Drosophila melanogaster: one gene and its partners. The protein of the gene in region 3 interacts with the protein of the main gene of each other region in a pairwise test. Each region holds a gene or a part of one and is shown on either strand. Other genes may lie near its edges.

Region 1 (6,589 bases), 5.1 Mb from region 3:
GGTGGATGAGAACCTGCCATACATTTTAATAGCCACGGCACATAAGCCACTTGGCTTTCTGTGCGGCATGGAGCGGTCGTCGTGGCCATGTCAAACCACAAAACAATTTAAGTTGCAAACATTGAAAAGTTTTCGATTTCTGTTTTCTATTCTATTCTATTTGTCGCACAACAAATTCGCAACAGTCGAAACTTTCTGGGGGAAAGCGAACAACTTTTCAGCATTTTTTTTAACAAGGAATATTCGGGGCGTACATCCTGAAATCTCCCTGCTGTCGATCTCCCTCCAGCTGGTCATCCCTCATACGCTCCGTTTGCCGTGGGCGAGACTCGTTTCTGTCAATTGCCGGTGGCACACAGGGCGTATGATTGACATCGCCCCTCACTTCGCTCATGGCCAACACAGAAGGAATTCAATGATTAGCTCACTTGAGCGAAGCGCTCATCCATTGACTCCACTTACATTATGGTGCTTCATTTAATATGTTTGGACGTTGATTAATTGTCTGTATATATTTCTTGTACTTTTCGACGTGGCACAACAGATGCCTGGATCAATTTGTTTGCAGGAATATTGTGTCCCCATCAGCTATAAACAATTTCGAATGCTCCTTTTGAAGTTTAAAGTTTAATTTATTAATTAATTTTAAATCAGTTATATTTATAATGTTACATATGTAATTTTTACAGTTCGTAAAGCTAACTCGAAAATGTTCATTTTTCTATTCCACTATCCATTCATTTTTCACCACTTTTACCATATGGGATTTGGTTTTTTTTTTTTTTTGGGGTTTCTCTAAAGTTCCTAAAGTTGACAACTCTCAGATGTAGTTTCTGCATACGTCTCTAATACAAGGTTTAATCGCTGCCCATCGTTTAGTTCTGTAAGTGCTTGTAAGGATGTGGCGGAAGTCAAAATATCATACAACTTAGGATCTATAAACTGTGCAGCGTAAGGATTTAACAACAATTGCAGCTAACAAATTAATCGTATTGCAAAGGATAATAAGATTGGGAAAACAAAGGTACTAAGCTATAACGAAATCCAAATCCAAATCCTTGCGTAACGCAGAGCAATAGATACTAAACAGGGGATATATATTAGCAGCAGAAGCATCTCCACGACGAAAAAGCACGACGAATACTTCAACGGCTTCAACATTCTGGTGTCCTTCTCCTTGTCGGGTTGAAATAAAAATCTTTAAATAGAAATTGGACATGCTTTAATTTCTTAAGATAGAAACAAAAGATTGCCATCATTATTATCAATAGAAAAACTTAAATATTTCAAAGAGTTTAACAATTTTAAACGTGAGAACCTAATAGCCTCCATGAGCTGATAATTTATTGATTCCCCTCCTCCTGTCGCACATATTAGAAACTGAAAAACCTACGCTTCGCACCTGATCTCGTTACAGAAGTTCAGCCAACTCGAGCTCCTGGACCAACTGTTCCCGCTCTCGCTCCCGATCTCTCTCCTGGTTCTCCCTTAATTCCCGGGCCGCCCGCTGTTGCTCCTTCTCCTCCTCCTGCTGCTGTTGCTGCTTCTTGCGGTGCTCATAGTTGACCAGCCTCTGACCCACCAGGTACTTATCCACCTTGATGGACAGATAGAGCTTCTTCAGCTGATCGATCTGGAACAAAAGGATGCATATGCTGCCCACCACAATGAAGCTTACGGGATACACGAGCCGTGCGACGACATGCTGAGCATAGGCGTCCGCTAGGAAAATCGGAAACATCATATGTGCCATGACATAGGGTATGGCCAGGGCCAGACCAATGGTAGTAACGACCGGCACAGCCAAGTCTCGCATCACAAACTTCAAGTCGAAATCGCGCAATCCATCCATGTAGGCTCGATCTAATGCACGCTTCAAGTGCCAATCTGGGCCCATCATCGTCAAGGCGATGGCTATCTTGCAGTAGAGCACTCCCAGCGCCCAATCCTCCCATAGGAAGTGGATTGGTGTCTTGCGTAGTGGAACGCGTAGGGGAATGACCACCGCCAACTCGATCAGCAATCCAATCAGCAACGGAACCAGCACGAAGATTCCCAGGAGTGTTAGAACGGGCAGGGCATATTGCAATGCCACTCGGACCCAGTGCTTTATCTTGTCGACAATAGCCGCGCGGCCTTGTGGCAGCAGGGTGACCACCGCAGCTACTACCCGGCAGACAATCCAGCACAGGTAACCACCAAGCTCAGCGGTGTACAGCTCATGCGAGCGCAGTAGTCGCTCGTTCTTTCTGGCTCCTTCCGGATCGATTGGATCTAGATTTTCAACCACTTCGCCCGCTCCTTCTGCGGCTGCCGCTCCAGCTGCCTTCTCATCCGGCTGGGAGGACCAGATCAACATCAGCCGCCGACCGATGTAGACTGGAACCGTGAGCGTCAACATGGCAGCACAAACGATGGACAAACACATGAGTGCCAACAGGGCACACAAACGTAAAGCGAACAGCGATGGCTTGTCGTACGGCTGGAATCCCACGGGTGCATCCCGTTGCATGATGGCCTGATGGGCGGCGGCAAGGTTTCGTGGTGCCGGCGCCGGTTCCACTGGCGGTGGCGGTGGAGGAGGTGGTGCTGGTGGTTGGGCTGCCGCATCCGCTGCCTCACCTTCCTGGTTTTCATTTTCGCCAGCGGCATTCTCCACGCCTTCTTCTCCAGCAGCGGGAATTTCCGGTTCCGGCTCCGGTGCTGGGAGCAGGTAGCTTCGTATGCCCAGCAACCAGGCCACCGCTGTGCACCAAATGCGCAGCAAGCCCTTTAGCCAGATGCGTGTTTGGGTCTGCTCGAAGAAGCCCGGCAAAACGATCTGGAATGGCGAGTTTAGATTGTTTAAGTTATTCAAATAAGTTTGCGGGTAACTTACTTGTAAGAGCAGCAATTGCAAGTTAACCGCTGAATCGCCACTAAGTGCATATGGCAAGAAGTCCGGACAAACCACCTGCAGAATTCTAATGGGCAGCCAGAGCATCAAGAGCACTGCAAATCCAAAGATCATAGCCGAAGCGACCAGCCGCCGGATGTGTCTCACAATTGGTACATGGATCATTTCCTGGATGGGACTGAAGTCAGGATCGTTGACATTGCGGAATATCCAGAGCACTCCCGGTCGCAGCACCTCGCGCAACAACGATACAAACGCAGCGAAGTAGTAAACGTATACCATGCCAAACATCCAGTGGACAAAAAGTGAGGTGCCCGGAGCAGCCTTAAAACTCTCTTTACGATCCTTGAGGCTGGCATCTAGTAGGGGCAACGAACAAATGTCCAGCCACCAGCCGCAAATCAGCGGGAGTACTCCGATCTCCAACACCGACAGCAGCGACACCTTGACCACAATATAGCACAATCCAATGAACCAGCAGACTCTCCGCAGGCGGAAAACTCTGGAGAAGAAGTGCAGCACCACCAGGGTCAATCCAATGCAGCAGTAACCAAATAGCGTGGTAATCAGGCCGTGAAAGTGTAGCAGTGGTTTCTCGGGCTGCAAAAGATCCATGGAGCTCAGAATGAAGTTGCCCACGCAGTAGGGACAAAAGGCGAAGGTGAAGATGAACATGGTGTTCAGTGAGATGATCCAGAAGACGTGCTCCAGAAAAACTAGCGAGCCATCGAGTCCGAGCAGGCGTTCCCAGGTAAGCTCCTCGGCAGCCCGATCCCACTCCATGGGATTCCAATTCTGCTCATCGGCATCGGCGTCCACGACGGGAGCTGCAGCCGCTGGTGCGGCATCCTGGGCCTGGGCATCCTGCCCATCGTTGTCCGCTGGAGCCGGCGCTTCATTGTCGTCGGCATTGTTGTTGTCGTCCTGAGGCTGTGGAGCTGCCTCGGCGGCGGGATCAGGCGCAGGATTAGCAGCCGCTGCCTGTAGAGGGGCATCGTCCCGCTCCAGCCAATCGGGTCCGCCGCCATGCAGGATCTGCTCGCGCAGCCAGACCAATCCTATGAAGGACAAAAGTGTGCATGTGACCACAAAACAGCCCCGAAAGGCATCCGATGCCAGGTTTTCAACGGAGAAGATGTCAAAGGGCAGCGTGAGAATCATATCGAAGGAGCTCGCCCGGAAGAGGTACCGATAGGTCCTGTAGGCAGACAGCGGCACCACTCCGAACCAGGCCAAACCGACCAGGGTGTAATGAAGCCAGCAGCGAGCGCCCTCCAAAACGGCGGACATCAGTCCCACAAGGACATCCTTTATCGGCAGGACTCGCGGCATATCCGGAGCATAGATGGGCTGAAAGCTGAAGCTGTAGCTGCACAGCTCGCAGTATTCCTTGTGCGAGTAGCGCATCCATAACATCAGGCAGTCCTGATGAATGTACTTGATCGATCCAGTGCAGATGCACGGGTAGAAAAGAGGCCTATCCGGCTGTGCCTCGCATCTGCACACGCGGCAAATGTCGCCCTGCGACAGGTCGTCCATACTGATAACTTTTTCCCGGATCCTGGGTCTTCAGTTTGACTGAATTACTAAAGTTCCACTGGTCATTTGCGAAATTCGCTGGACAATTTCCGTAATTGACCCGAGGGTACGGGGGTTTTAAGACGATTATACCCGCCTTTTATGTGCGCCAATTAACCTTTCGATGATTACGGACCGTAATGCGATTGTAACACTTGAATTTTAACCGAAAAGTTGGGATATTATTACGACAAAACAAAACAAGACTACTTCTCAAAAAAAGGAGAGCCAATGTGTGCACACCATGAAATTGCTGATTATTTTCTCAACGGAGATGCCAACTAGTTCGATAGATTGAGAGAACGAAATATCGTTATTCATTTTTTAATCATAAATTGAAAATTAAAAAAGATTACATAGTTATGGTTAATAAATATAAGTTTTTAACTTAAATAATATAAAACAAAATTATCATGACCGGGAAGTAACAGTTAATGAAACAGTGTGTGCACACATCATTAGGCAATACCAATCCATCTGGCAACCCCACCACACTCATTGTTGTTGTTCTGATTCTCTTGTCATTATTTTGCAATCAATCGCTGAACTTTTTGCACTGAGAAATTGTAGAAAATAAGCCATGCAGCGACAGATTATTAACATTCTGGGACAGACGACGCGTCGCCTGGCTAGCGGCCAGCAAATTCGCATGCTGTCAGTTTCTGCGCCGCGACAGGAGATCTTCAAAGTCCAGAGCGCCGAGGACTTTGACAAGAAAGTAAAGAACAGCCAGCAGCCCGTGATTGTGGACTTCTTCGCAACGTAATTTTTATATTTTCAATTTGAGGACATGGCAAATTAATGTTTATATTGTAATCCACCAGCTGGTGCAATCCCTGCAAGCTGCTAACCCCGCGCATCGAGAGTATTGTGGGCGAACAGGCCGGTTCCATCAAGCTGGCCAAGGTGGACATAGATGAGCACAGCGAACTGGCTCTGGACTACGATGTGGCCGCCGTGCCCGTGCTAGTGGTGCTGCAGAACGGCAAGGAGGTGCAGCGCATGGTGGGACTCCAGGACGAGGACAAAATCCGGGCCTGGGTTGCCGCCGCCGTCAAACAGGCCAAGTAATAATTGAGAAATCCCAAAAAAAAAGTGGAGGTTGACCTCCTCGCAAATAAAGCTGAGCTTTAGGTTAATTCGGACTTTCGAAATAAATGTTTATTTACCCGTTGAAACGAAAAGTACTACGATTACACACTAAAAACTAAATGGAAAACCAGCCCGGCGTGCCGGGTCGCTTCTTGTTCCTGTCCAGAAATCTGCGGAAACCGGCTTTCGATTCATCCAGCGACTTTTCCTCCTTGGCCTGCTTCTCAGCCTTTTCGGAAAAGAAGTCGGGGAAGACAAAGGACTCCTCCCTGGGCTGGAATACACAAATATCATTGGAAATATCCATTGAATCAGGGGCTTGTAGTGGGCCATACCAATGTTACATAAGCCAGCTTCACGTCGTCTTTTTTGGTGATGTAGCCGTAGGTCTGATCCTTCTTGGTCTCGCCCATGGCAATCCGAGTACGCACATCCACCACCGGCAGCTTGTAGATCTTCTCCAGATAGTTACGCACATCGTACTTGGTCATTTCCATGGACACCGAAAAAGTGACCACATTGGGTGGCTGTTCCTCCGTGGGTCGGATTAGCTTCATCCAGAAGTTGGGAAGGAAAACGCGAAGCTGCGGATTGCCGCGCTGATAGATGGGATACCACCTCGTGGACATGATCTAGCCAGGATCTAAGATTCTAATTCAAGAATACAAAAATTAAATTAATTGTTGTGCGTTTATGAAATGCACTAAAAAAGGCCAAAGGTTTCGGGCGGACACAGGCGTAGCAAGGGGGTCGCATAAGATTGTTAACTAAAACTTAACGTATATATTAATTTAAGTTATTACGCTGTAACTATAAAATATTCCACACTTTTACCACTTTTAAAAAATAATATCACTAAATCTAGATTCCTCTCAAAGAACTGTTACCTACACCCGTGTAAAAGCACGTGGGTTGTCCAACACTTGTTTTAAACAGCTGATTGTCAACCACAACAATTTTTAAATTCGGTCCGGCTGAAATCTCTGGTAAAGGCCGTTTAAAATGGCAAAAATAAAGAAAAAG
Region 2 (3,600 bases), on a different chromosome or scaffold from region 3:
TGCGCTGGGCCCTGGGAAATGGGAAATAATGCGCCTAGTGCCAGCTCCAGTTGGCAGTTTGTTGGCTTTCAGCTTTGGTCGCTAATTAAGCCTGTTTATCGAAGTAAGTTAGCTGTTCAACTTTCGCTCCACAGCCCCCCCCCCCCGTTCCACATCCTTCGCCAAGATGATCGGCTCAGTTTAGTTTAGTTTTATCAGCTAACTAAATTAGCTGTCTGCCTGTCGGCATATGTATGCATTGTATATGTATATGAATGGCTGTGTATATGGAGTATGGATGAAGTGTCGCCACAACTGAATTGGGGAGCGTTTCTAAGTGCTGTAATAAAGCGATTCACGCAAATGCCTTCGAGTTCGGCGCTTTAATTGAGTAAATTATTGGGGGAAATGAAAATGGTTGGCCAGATGCGAGCAACTTTGTGGCCATGTCTTGCTGACGTGCGGTTATCGTGTGTCACTCGCCTGCGGAAACGGGCTAAAAAGTGGCTCTGCGGTTTGCTTTGGTTATGACAATTTATTGGCCGCCAGCATTAATTAAACGTTAGTCAAGGTCAGGAAACCGCAATTAAATAACGAGCGGATAGTTGAGGAAAAGCGCTCACATGCAAAGTGAAATGTGTGTGTAGCATGCCATGCCATTTTCCGGGCCAAAAGGGGTCGTTTGTAAGCCATCTGAGCTGAACTTCACCTTTGGCCAAAAGTTTGCACACTGCATGCAGTTTATTTGCTTCATTTGAGCTGCTGACTGCCGAATTGAATTGAATTTTGTACCGGCTGCGCCAACTATTTTATCCACTGAAATAAATCGCCGATTAAGCTTAAGTGGAAGCAAGTTTAACTACAGGAAAATTGGAACTATTTTCTGTTGTAAAACTCGCTGCAATTTGTATTTTTCCCATGTCTCCGAATTCGCAATTGAGTTCGAGCATTGCAAAAAAATTGCAAAAAAAGGCGTAAACATGAAAACAAAGCAAAAAAAAAAGAAAATGTTGAATGGAACTATTTCCGGTCCATTGGTTGGCAAATATTTGCTACATTTGTTTGTCATGAAAGCGGAAGAGATATCTTCGGAGCCCAGAAACTCATGACAATTGCGGCAAGATAAATGTGCCCAGCGAGGCGCATGATTATTAATATTATTACGCAGAATTTTTCCATTTTTTCCTGAATTCGCCAGATTTCATTCAATCCATTGAGTGCCGAAAAGTGCTGGAAACTTTCGTCCGAGCTCGAATGGAATTTGAATCTCCTGCGAGTAGCTCTGCAAACAGAGGGCCATGAATCAAGCAAGTTGAGGAGCGAAGCCCCTGGCCAAACAATCACTGCCCCCCCTCTGGACAGCTGGGTCCTTTTGCTCCTGATGCCCCACCAAACTTGTTTTGCACTCTGGGGTCTGAGCACTTGGTCCTGTGGATAAACGTTGGACTCACTTTGACGAGTCCCCTCGTCCTGTTTTCTCCCATCCTGCCAGAACTACGGAACTAATGAGTGGGTTTGACCATACATACTACATTCACTCCCCCAAAGTCATAATCACATGCACACAGACGAGGAGCATCAGGTGCATAAGTCATAAGGCTTTTTGGTGGGCAGCATGGGAGCAACTCTAATTTGCAATTAATGAAGCGCAGAGCCCAGAGATTATAAGCGAATTTCGGAAATTATAAGCTCTAATGGCAAACAATTAGATGTTGTGCACTAAGAGAACATCAGATAAATAGCACAATTCATATCCTATATATCCTGCTGGTTTATTCACGAAGGAATGAACAACCCACTTTTGTGAATCATTGTTTTCAAGTGTGAAAAGATGTTTAGAACACGATCCGCTCTTATCTTGGCGCTAATGTTGAATAGTGTTTACCATTTTCGCACATATGACACGGCTTGTTTTTGGCCAACTGATAAGCGGAAAGTGGCTCGGACGAATTCCGCTAATTGGCAGGCGATAAGCGATGTGTCCGAGAAAAGGGGAAATGCATGTAATTGACTCTGCCGCCGATGGGAGGGCCATAAAAGCAGGTGATGAACGGCGGGTTCCGGCCACAGTTAACTTGAATCTCGGCCAGCTAAAAAGGAGACGATGGACGCGAAGACGTTGATACTGTTGACCGTGGCCGTGGCCATATTCGCCTGCCACACGATCGCACAGCCACATTACATTGAGGTGTCCGAGGAATCAGAGGAATGGTGTCCACCAGAAAATAACAATACCGATAATAACAATCCGAATAGAACCGATCACGACTCCGCCCTGTGCGCCAACTTCCAGCACATTCGCGCTATGATCAATCAGGAGGCCCTGCTCAATCTGATCGAGGTGCACTACAATTGTGATCTGAAGTTCCGCCGCGCCATGCGGTACTACAACACAGCCGGATTCGAGAGGACCACCCAGCAGCTCACGGATACGGATGCCTACAAGACCGTTCTCAAGGAACTGCAGTCGGAGAGCGTGGATACCGCCGACATTGAGACCGTGGCGGATATCTTCCATTGCATCATACTGCCCGTCCGCCAGCCCGATCGCAACTGCGACTGCAAGGCCGTGAAGCACCACACCTTCGTCGGCGATCTGCTCTCCATCATGCCGAAGCAGGAGGTGCACAACTATGTGGCACAGTCCCAGGCGAATCACACCAACTTCGGCAACTTCACCAAGGCGGTGGTCTCCAAGCAATTCCAGGCCACGCTCAAGGCCAACATTGTGAGTAGACCCACTCGAGTTGAGTACACAAGAGTGTGGCAGTGTATTAACTCCTTTACTTCTCATTCTCACTTCCTCAATTATCCTGCAGAACAAGCGCGACGTGGTGAAGCCACTGCGCACCCTGCGCAAGAACGGCTGGGACATCCCAGAGCTGCTACGCGCCATGCTGACCATCTTCCAGTGGTGAGTGGAGTACTCGTAGCCGGAGTGGAGTATTCAATGTGTCTCCATTGTATGTATGTAAGCCCAATAAAGCAACAAGTGAAAGGAAACTGTTCCGCAGAAGCGAACTCACGGTTGACACCTGTCCTGTTTGTTGGGTGCGGAATGTTGTGTGGCAGTGGGTGGTGCAATTACCACCCGCCGTGCCCGGTAGGACATCAACAAGTTTTCAGTACGGCCTCGTCGCCTTCAGCGGGCTCCACTTGTAATTGGCATCCATGGGTGGTAACTGCAGCGGAAGTGTCGAGGAAGGAAGGATTCGTGTTGGAGATAATCGATCCACGACATTTTACGTGGTTCTTTTCATTTCAAACCATTCCGCCTGCAGCCATTTCCATTTCCATTACCCGGAAAACCTGAAGTTGGCAGCGTATATTGAGGCTGTTATCTACAACTTTCTTGAAGTAACTTTGCATTATTACTTAGGCAGCTCTGGAATATTTGAAATTTGTTCTTTGAGTCGCGGAATTCAAAAGTGCGCCATAGTATATTTTAAATTGTTTGATTTTACATTCAGCCACGGAATTTCTTTGGCACACAACTTACACCTTAAAGCCAATTGTATTACTAGTAGAGGCCTCCCATGGATTGCGAGTGCTTTCCCATTAGGGACAACCCTCCTGCGCCACTTGGCTGTCCCAGCTGGGTATTTGATTTGCCATCAGTCT
Region 3 (8,042 bases):
ATCGGCTCACGTCAATGGCGATTTGGCGCCGGCCAAAATACTTGGCTGGAATTCGGAATTTGGCTGTCGTCACGGGTCTACGGGTCTGTTCTGATTTTGCAGCACGTCATCCGACGCGGGGACGCCACCGCCATTTGGGACAATTGAAAGCATTCCGCTCGGTGTGTGGTCTAATATCCAAGTCCATTTAATCCAATTCCAATCGCCATTGTTTCGGTTAATATGTGTGTTTATTTTGCTCATTCATGCACCGCAAAAATTGTTTTTGATTGGGCTCTGTTGCGTCTTGACCCATTGTGTGTGTGTATCTCTGTGTGTGTGTGGATAAATATCAGTTGGATATTATTATTCTAAATAGTTTGAAGCATTTGCTAAGGGTCCACTCCGTGTGTTGGTGTTGTCGCAATCTTCGTCGTCTTCTCGATTTAAACAGAACTTAACCATTAACTAAATTAAATACAATTTATTAAAGTAAAATGTACAAGAAGCATTAGGTGGCCAGGCTTCCGTCTCCGTATCTGCCCCCTACTTTTGCTCGGTGAACTTGGCAATCTGCGGATACTTGCTGGTCTTAAAATCCACATCCCGCTCGGTACGCTCTTTTAAACTATTGCGCACCGCATCCGTGTAGGCGGCCTGAATGGTGGAGTCGTGAGCAATGGATCCGATTACGGTATCCATACTGATCGACGCGTTTAAGGCGCTACCACCATTGCTTCCACCCAAGCCGACGCTCTGGATAGCCCTCTGCACTCCATTAGCAATGAGACACTCCACGCTGGCAGTCGGCTTTTCCGACTGAATTATCTTGCGGCGCTTGGCGGACATGCCCGAGATGTAGGCATCCGAGAAGGGCGGCTGGGGACGATTACTCTGCTGCAGGATACATAGATTGAGACATAGTTTAGTGTAATTCCAGAAAGTTGTACGGAATAACCTACCTCTGCCTGGGTCTGTAGGTCGCGCGTTATCACAGGCAACCAATCATTGGGGAAACTCATGTGCCAAGGCTCTGAGCCCACAATCACAGCTGGTAGCTCGTCTGCCGGTGAACTGTTGCTGCCGCTGGCGGTCACTTCGGACATCTCAACATCCGTGTCCAGAGTTTGCTCTTGCAGCTGCTGCTGTTGTGGGTTGAAAGCAAAAGGAGGCGGCGCCACAAATGGCTATTAGTGCATAAGTTTCTGGGCATGGAAAATAGTTTGGAAACCTACCTCGTCGGCAGCTGTTGGAGGAGCTGCTTGAATGCTGCGCAAGACCAGGAACTGTTGGGCATCCACTGTGTCAGTTTGGGCGGGAATCGTGGGGTCTATGTAGATGCACAAAAACTGCAGGGCTTCGTTGCGGAAGTCTGCAAAAGAAATATTGAGTTAACCAGTATACTTACGATCACTTTTGGTGTCAACTTACTGGATCGCATCGGTGCGCAAAGGAGGCGCATTAGCTGGCGCCAATAGAGCTCCGCATTCGCGCTTCCAAGGCACAGGAAGAGAACGCTGTATAGCCGCTTGCGGAATTGGTCACAAATCTGTTTGAGACTTTGCTCGAATTGAGCACTATCTACACCGGCCGGAGCTCCATTACAAAGCTCGATGATCAAACGGAGGCTGACACGCAGGATGTTGCACACAGAGTCGCGCGAGTTGTACTCCGGACGCTCGTACTGCGGCAGGTAGACCAGGCTCTCCCCGAACCAGTCTAGTGCGCGACCAATGGCCCCCGGAATAGTCTGCTCGTTGATGGGTACTCCGACAAACAGGCTGTCGTTGAGGAAGGTGCGCAGTTGCGAACGCAGGTTGTTCGAGTCTCCGCGAGGAGTGGGTGTGGATGTCGGCAAAACAGTTTGTAGCGGAGCAGCTGGCGTGGTTGAAGCAATTGGGGCAGCTTCTCCTGATGGTGAGGCGGCCGTATCTCCGACGGCGGCAACTGCACTGCCTACCGAAGCTGTTGGCGCATTATTTCTCATATTATTAATCAAAAAATTAGCGAGTTGGGTGGGTAAATGTCTGGACAGGCGACTGGTGGCGGCCTGTAGTCGCCCCCTTCGGCCAGAGGGCAAGCCTCCGTTGGTGCTGCCACCGCCAACGTGGGCCGTTCGAGTCGCCAGCCGATCACGATTGATGGTCGATCCTCCAACGGGCCGCACTCTCCCGGCTCCGACTCCGGCCCCATTGGTACTGCCAGCACCAACGTGGGCACTTGGTATATGAGTTGTTTGGGTCTGCGCCTGCGCCCAGGCTGCCGGTCCCAGGTTGCTTAGTTGCTCGCTGGCTGGTCGCTGGCGACGCGACGACCACATTGGGCGGATTGTGTTACTGCCGCGTTGGATGCGACCAGTGGTGACTAAATGATGATATGGATAAAATGGAAATTAATGTCAGAGATGGAGGCCAGTCGGAGGTCGAGATAGCAAATAAATAGTTCTTTAGTATAGTTAACTATTAAATTTTGTAAAAATTTTAAAATCGTATAGCATTTAAAGATTTATCGCGCCCTGATCCGACAGGTTTTTGATACACTTGGCTTTCCATCTCCGGTTGGTGAGTGTGCAAATGAAATGGATTGGTGGATTGGCGAAATGGATCGTGGACATAAGGTAGTGTTTGCTAGATTTCCCCGGATGGGAGCCGTACTCACCAGGACGAGTTACTGCAGCAGATGTGGGCGGAACAACGGTGGCTCCTCCTGCTGGTGCTGTCGAGGTGCTGCGACTGGTACTGTTGTTTTGGAGCAGCTGCTCTGGTTCCCGAATGTGATGACTATTGCAAGGCAGAAAGCGGTCGAATGCCGTGTGTGTCGGAGCAATGCGTCCGCCCCAGTTGTTGTTTCCGCCAATCTGAATCTGTGGTCTTGATGTCGAGCGCGTTTGGGTGGCCGTGGTGGGCAAGGTATTGGCCCTCTGATCGCCACTGCGTGTTCCACTTGATGTTGAAGCTGCATTTGGAGACTCTCCATTGCCCGACGCAGGCGCACTTTCAGGGGAGGAGGATTCGGACGCAGACTGATCTGCTGTTTCGTTCGATCCAGCTGCCGGAGCCTGTCGCACGGTCGTCATCACATGCACGGGCAAGTTAATCGACATGACGTTGGGGGCATTGAATTCCACATGGATATCGTTCGGTCGTTGACCATTGACCATTGCCTGAATAATTCGGGCCATTTCCAATTGGGGATCTGTAAAGCAGCAGTAACAGCTCTTTGAAGCGTTCAGTATAGCAAGGGTTAATTTGTTTAGGGCCGGGTCAGTAAAAGAATCAAACTAGCAAAGTGAAAGTGAAACCAAAGTAGGGATGCAGTGAGTGAGCAGCTAAGATTATGGTTAGTCTGCCATGACTGAGGCGTTGGATTCAACCGAACAATCAAAACATACTGGGCGGTGGCAAAGTCACTGGCACATAGACACGCAGCCTAGGCACTGGTCGGGTTTCTCGTTCGGGAGTTTCACTTTGAGCTTGATCGTGGTCGTGATCTAGAATATTTTCAACAAATAATACGGGAATATTTACGATTCAGAGACACGAATTCCTTGTCTAAGGCCATGAGTGAATTTGATTTTGCACAGCCTCATCTGCATACAGTGTTTGTATAAAGTTTCTTACCCATTTCGAGACGCTGTTGCTCTTGTGCTAGTGTTTCAGCACCTGCAGCATTTGGCCCCACCATAGGCTCGTCGATGGGATCCTCTACTTGATCACTGGATAAATCGCGAGCGGCGGCGGCAGCCGCATTCGCAGCTCCAGCAGCCGCACTGGCAGCTCCGGCAGCCATTTCCGCAGCGGCTCCAGCAGCTCGACTGGCGATCTCCGCCATGGCCGCTGCACTGCGACTGGCATCGGTGGCCGCCTGCAAATTGGCAGCCTGCGAAGGTGCCACAGCAGTTGGAGTGCCCGCGCTGGTGGGCGTTTGAGTGCCCGCTGTGGTGGCCGTTTGAGTGCCAGCTGCAGAGGCAGAACCAGGTGCTCTATTGCGGAAAGGCTCGTTGATAATACCCGAGGGCGGTGCCAAAAAGTTGGGCGTGAAGATGTTATTGGAGCGTATGTAACCGCTCTGCTCAACGAGAATGGGTCGGCAGGTGAGCACACGTGGCCCTGGCTGCGACAGGTCAAGCATTAAATCGGATATAGCGTGCTGGGCGTGCGAAAGGTAGTGGAAAGCCTCCGAGACGCGATCGAAGATGCGCTGTGCGTTCTCGCGACCATCGGTGTCCTAAAAAAGGAATTTAATGTTTTAATAGGCTTATAAGAGCTCGGCTTATTAACTTACACTCTCCTCAAAAGTGGGATCATTCTGGAGAATCTCATAGTACCGATCAACAAAAGGCGCCAAGCGAGCCTGTACGCCACGATAGTGCTGAATAACTTGGGCCAACACCTGAGGACGAGTGCGTCGCCTGGGTCCTGAGTTGTTGCCGCCTTCGGCAGCCGCGTCATTTGCTGATCCAACCGAGGATGTGGGAGTCTCTGCTGCAGTGACTTGCTGGCCACCAACTGCTCCTTCCGCCTCCGGCTCTGGTGTTGGCGTGACCGAACGATCTGATGCTCCATCGGCCACTTCGTCGTCCGTTTCGATAACATCCTCGATAATCACAGTAGCAGCTGTGGTTTCACCACTAGCATTACTTGCAGCTCCACTGGCTGCTCCCTCACTTGTTATAGCTTCGGCTGTTCTCTGCTGGCTCGTCTCGCCATTCTCATTGGTATAAACCGTGGGCAGCTGAACCACCGTATAGTTGCGTGCTCCTGTATGCGAAAGAGCAGCGGTCACGGCATCTTGGACCATATCGATGATGTTATTGTTGCGTGGCAGATCAGTCGAGGAGACACCTACTTCCACGACTGTGGACTCCATCGACCAGCGACCGCGCTGCAGAATGTCCAGTGATTGATTGTTCAGGCCAACGGCAGGATTTTCCAGATAAGCTGCTATATTGTCAGCGCAATCGATCATGTGCAGGGCGACCGTGATGCGGTTAATGCAGAAGGACGACGAGTTGGGATAACGATTCGGTGGAGGACGTGTCTGCTAAGATACGTTTAAATACGCGTGTTGAAAGAGCTTTCATCTTAATGGCTTACCCCAGCTACTGGACCATTGTTCACCGGTATGGCCATGGTGCCCACCAGCATTCCATCGAGGGCGCGGAAGTACGGAGAAGTACGCATTCCGGGCGGCGGCGGACGTGCCACATTGCGGAAGGTTCGCATGGGTTCATCATTGTTGCGGGCATTGGCTCCGCGCTGCGAGAATGGTGGTCGTTCGGCCACATGGAGCACCTTGCCATCCACATCTGCATGGGCATTGATATTGTTGTATTAGATATAAGTGCATATATATATGTGGGTGCTCCCGGGGGCATGACTCACCATATTCCTTCACCTGCTTATCATCGACCAGAACGCGACCCTGGTAGATGATACGCTGGTTTTCCGCCGCAATGTTAGTCTTCTCGGCTATTTGGTCCTTGAACTGGCGGATGGTGAGCTGGAAATGGGTGGGGTGCATGGATATAAAGAAGCCCCTAGACCTGGACACACAACCTCAAACATTACCTCATTGTCGATGCTGAATTCGTGGATGCGCGCATCTAAGGTCTTCACCTTAAGGTTTATGAGCATTTTCCGGCCGGACTGCGTCGCAAATCAATTGAAAATCTCGTTTTTCTTTCGGTTTTCCCCGTGCCGTGCAAAAAAACAGTCGAAAAGGGTTCGTTGGTGGAGGGGGGAAGGCGGGGAATCTTGTCGGTGTCGCTGTCACCTGCTCTCTCGCTCGCACTCGCTGTCGTTGGCCTTTGGCTTTTCCGGACACGTTTTCGCACTGCTCAACTAGCGGTAAATATGTATACGTTTTCACTGATCTCCGCCTGCTTTCGGATCGGGCAAATATATGCTGGGCTTCTATGCTAACGCGCCGAGCGACTTTGCAATTCAACAACAGCAGTGGACGAGAATAATTACTGGAATTTGACAGTGTGGCAGTGTTGCCAACTCTCGGAGTGAAAGAGCAGCCAAATGCCATCTTGTAAAAAGCTAAACTAGCAGGTATTGATAAATAAATTCCGTTTTAAAGCAAAAATTAAGCGATCTGTCAAAAATGATATGTATTGTATGGAGCAGTTGAAAATTATTTTATTGAGTTTGGTAACGATTACAAAAATTGGAATATGCAGATAAATAACCTTTTTTCTGAAGCTTAAAATATATTATAACAAAAATATATTATAACAACTTGTCTTAAGATTAAAATATAATATATTATATTAATTTGTCTGAAGTTTAAAATATAATAGCTGCATATGTCTACAAAATAGATAAGTTGCCAGCTCAGCATATAGTACACAAAATGTCCTAAAATACCCAAATTATTATTTCAGTGGCAAACACAAAGAAGAATACAGCACTGTTAGCATTGACTCAAACCAGAGTGCACGAATTTTTTTCTTGTCTGGCAGCCCTAAAAACCACTTAGGCGGTTCTTTTGAATTTGTACTAAATATATTAATCTGTTTTATTTATATTGTTTTTGAACATTCTTTGCTATCCTAACCTAACCGAAAGGTATAATATCTCCAGGGAATTGCCTAGACTCTTGCCCACAATGTAAAGCGTGTGGGGCATGAGCGAGATGAGCGCTATAAAAACGTTTAAAGAACTGCACATGTGAAATACAATTCACCCATCAACCTTTTCGCCCCTAACCCCACACCAACCCTTAATCACCCCACCGCCTTTGACTGCATCCTGTGGGAATTTTTGGGCACTGCACATGAAAAGCGGCGTTTGAATAATAAAGAAAAGAAAACACGGAAAACAGGGGAAAGTCAGCCAAGACGCAAAGGTGTAGGGCAACTTTTCGCTTTGAATATTTAAGTGGCGCTGTGGCATCGGTAGTGGAAGTAAAATAAGCAGAAGGCTGCGAAGGAAAGCCAACCGCAGCTAACACAATTTTTCGCATACCCCTTGCCGGAATTGTGCGGAAATTTGATTTAATGTCTGCGATTGTGAGCCTTTCCACGGGCTCAAAGTGATTGCGACGAGCCCTTATTTTCCGGACTGAAAAGATGCCACGGAAATGGGCAGTGGCAGATTGCCGAGTGCACCATTCTCTTTGAGGATTTTTTTTTTTTTTAACTGAGTTTTTAGCAAGCAATTGAATGATTAATTACAGTATTTTCAAAAAAATACCTTGCTTAAAGTTTGTAGATTTTTTTTTTAATAATAAAAGATGTTTTTGTAAGCTTGTTGTCAGGATATATGCTATGTTTAAATGTTTGATTCCCAATTAAGCATTTTGAGAAAATTGATGTACAAATTACAAACAGTTAATTGTATTAAAATGCTCAGCCTACATTTCGCTTACAATATGGATTATGCTTGGCGTGAAAGTATAAATAATAATTATTAACGTTTTTCACCGACTTTGCGCGGTCCAAGTGCAAGTTTTACAATTTACAAATTGCTTTTAAATGGGCTGTGAAAAGTTTTAATGAGTTTTCCACGCAGCCGTCCTTCATCTAAGCGCCCAGTACATTCCGCCCACCGCCTTGTCAACGATTTCTGTTTATGCATTTTCATTTTCATTATCATTCCCTTTTTTTCGACCAGCACTGCCCTCTCGTTTTCCGCTTTCCATTTGTTATTAAGCTAACGCTTTCCGTTACTTTTTATTACTTTTTTGCACCAAAAGTTTTTCCTGTCACAGTGGGTGGGCGTGGCACTACATTGAAAGTGTTTTTTTTTTTTTGTTGTTGTGGGCGGGGGCAAAGGTCGCCTTATGAAATTATATCAATCGGGCAGATTGATAAGTCGCTGCTCTTGGCAGCTGGTAAATGACATTTGCTTTTTCCAATTGTTCATATTTTCATTAAGCAACATTTGAATTTTCCCGAATGTAACCTGTAATCGCTTCACTTCAGAATCAGAATTAGAAATGTATTCAAGTACGAGTTTCCGCATTGCATGGCTACATTTCTAATTTCGGTCTGGTCAAGAACAGGGCCCCAGAGCAAGTCTCACGTCAAATTAAATCAAGCTGTAATATAAAGA

What was found.
Region 1: the proteins of CG7546 (region 3) and CG1317 interact in a two-hybrid assay, tested with the Drosophila melanogaster proteins (one large-scale study listed by BioGRID).
Region 2: the proteins of CG7546 (region 3) and CG3906 interact in a two-hybrid assay, tested with the Drosophila melanogaster proteins (one large-scale study listed by BioGRID).

Annotation. Positions count from the first base shown.
Region 1 is NT_037436.4:2,367,228-2,373,816, forward strand, and holds CG1317 (uncharacterized protein), read right to left. Parts: upstream 4,713-6,589; 5' UTR 4,436-4,712; coding exon 2,879-4,435; intron 2,822-2,878; coding exon 1,412-2,821; 3' UTR 1,403-1,411; exon of another isoform or gene 1,199-1,402; 3' UTR 616-1,198; downstream 1-615. Other genes in the region: CG8993 (uncharacterized protein), read left to right, coding at 5,055-5,236, 5,299-5,545; mRpL23 (mitochondrial ribosomal protein L23), read right to left, coding at 5,682-5,840, 5,902-6,195; CG9004 (uncharacterized protein), read left to right, coding at 6,569-6,589.
Region 2 is NT_033778.4:23,510,684-23,514,283, reverse strand, and holds CG3906 (uncharacterized protein), read left to right. Parts: upstream 1-2,058; 5' UTR 2,059-2,083; coding exon 2,084-2,707; intron 2,708-2,798; coding exon 2,799-2,897; 3' UTR 2,898-2,998; downstream 2,999-3,600.
Region 3 is NT_037436.4:7,508,950-7,516,991, reverse strand, and holds the start of CG7546 (uncharacterized protein), read right to left. Parts: upstream 6,007-8,042; 5' UTR 5,616-6,006; coding exon 5,550-5,615; exon of another isoform or gene 5,482-5,549; coding exon 5,364-5,481; exon of another isoform or gene 5,288-5,363; coding exon 5,076-5,287; exon of another isoform or gene 5,023-5,075; coding exon of another isoform or gene 5,020-5,022; coding exon 4,264-5,019; exon of another isoform or gene 4,207-4,263; coding exon 3,600-4,206; intron 3,470-3,599; coding exon 3,371-3,469; intron 3,175-3,370; coding exon 2,638-3,174; intron 2,344-2,637; coding exon 1,411-2,343; intron 1,352-1,410; coding exon 1,215-1,351; intron 1,167-1,214; coding exon 942-1,166; intron 877-941; coding exon 526-876; 3' UTR 1-525.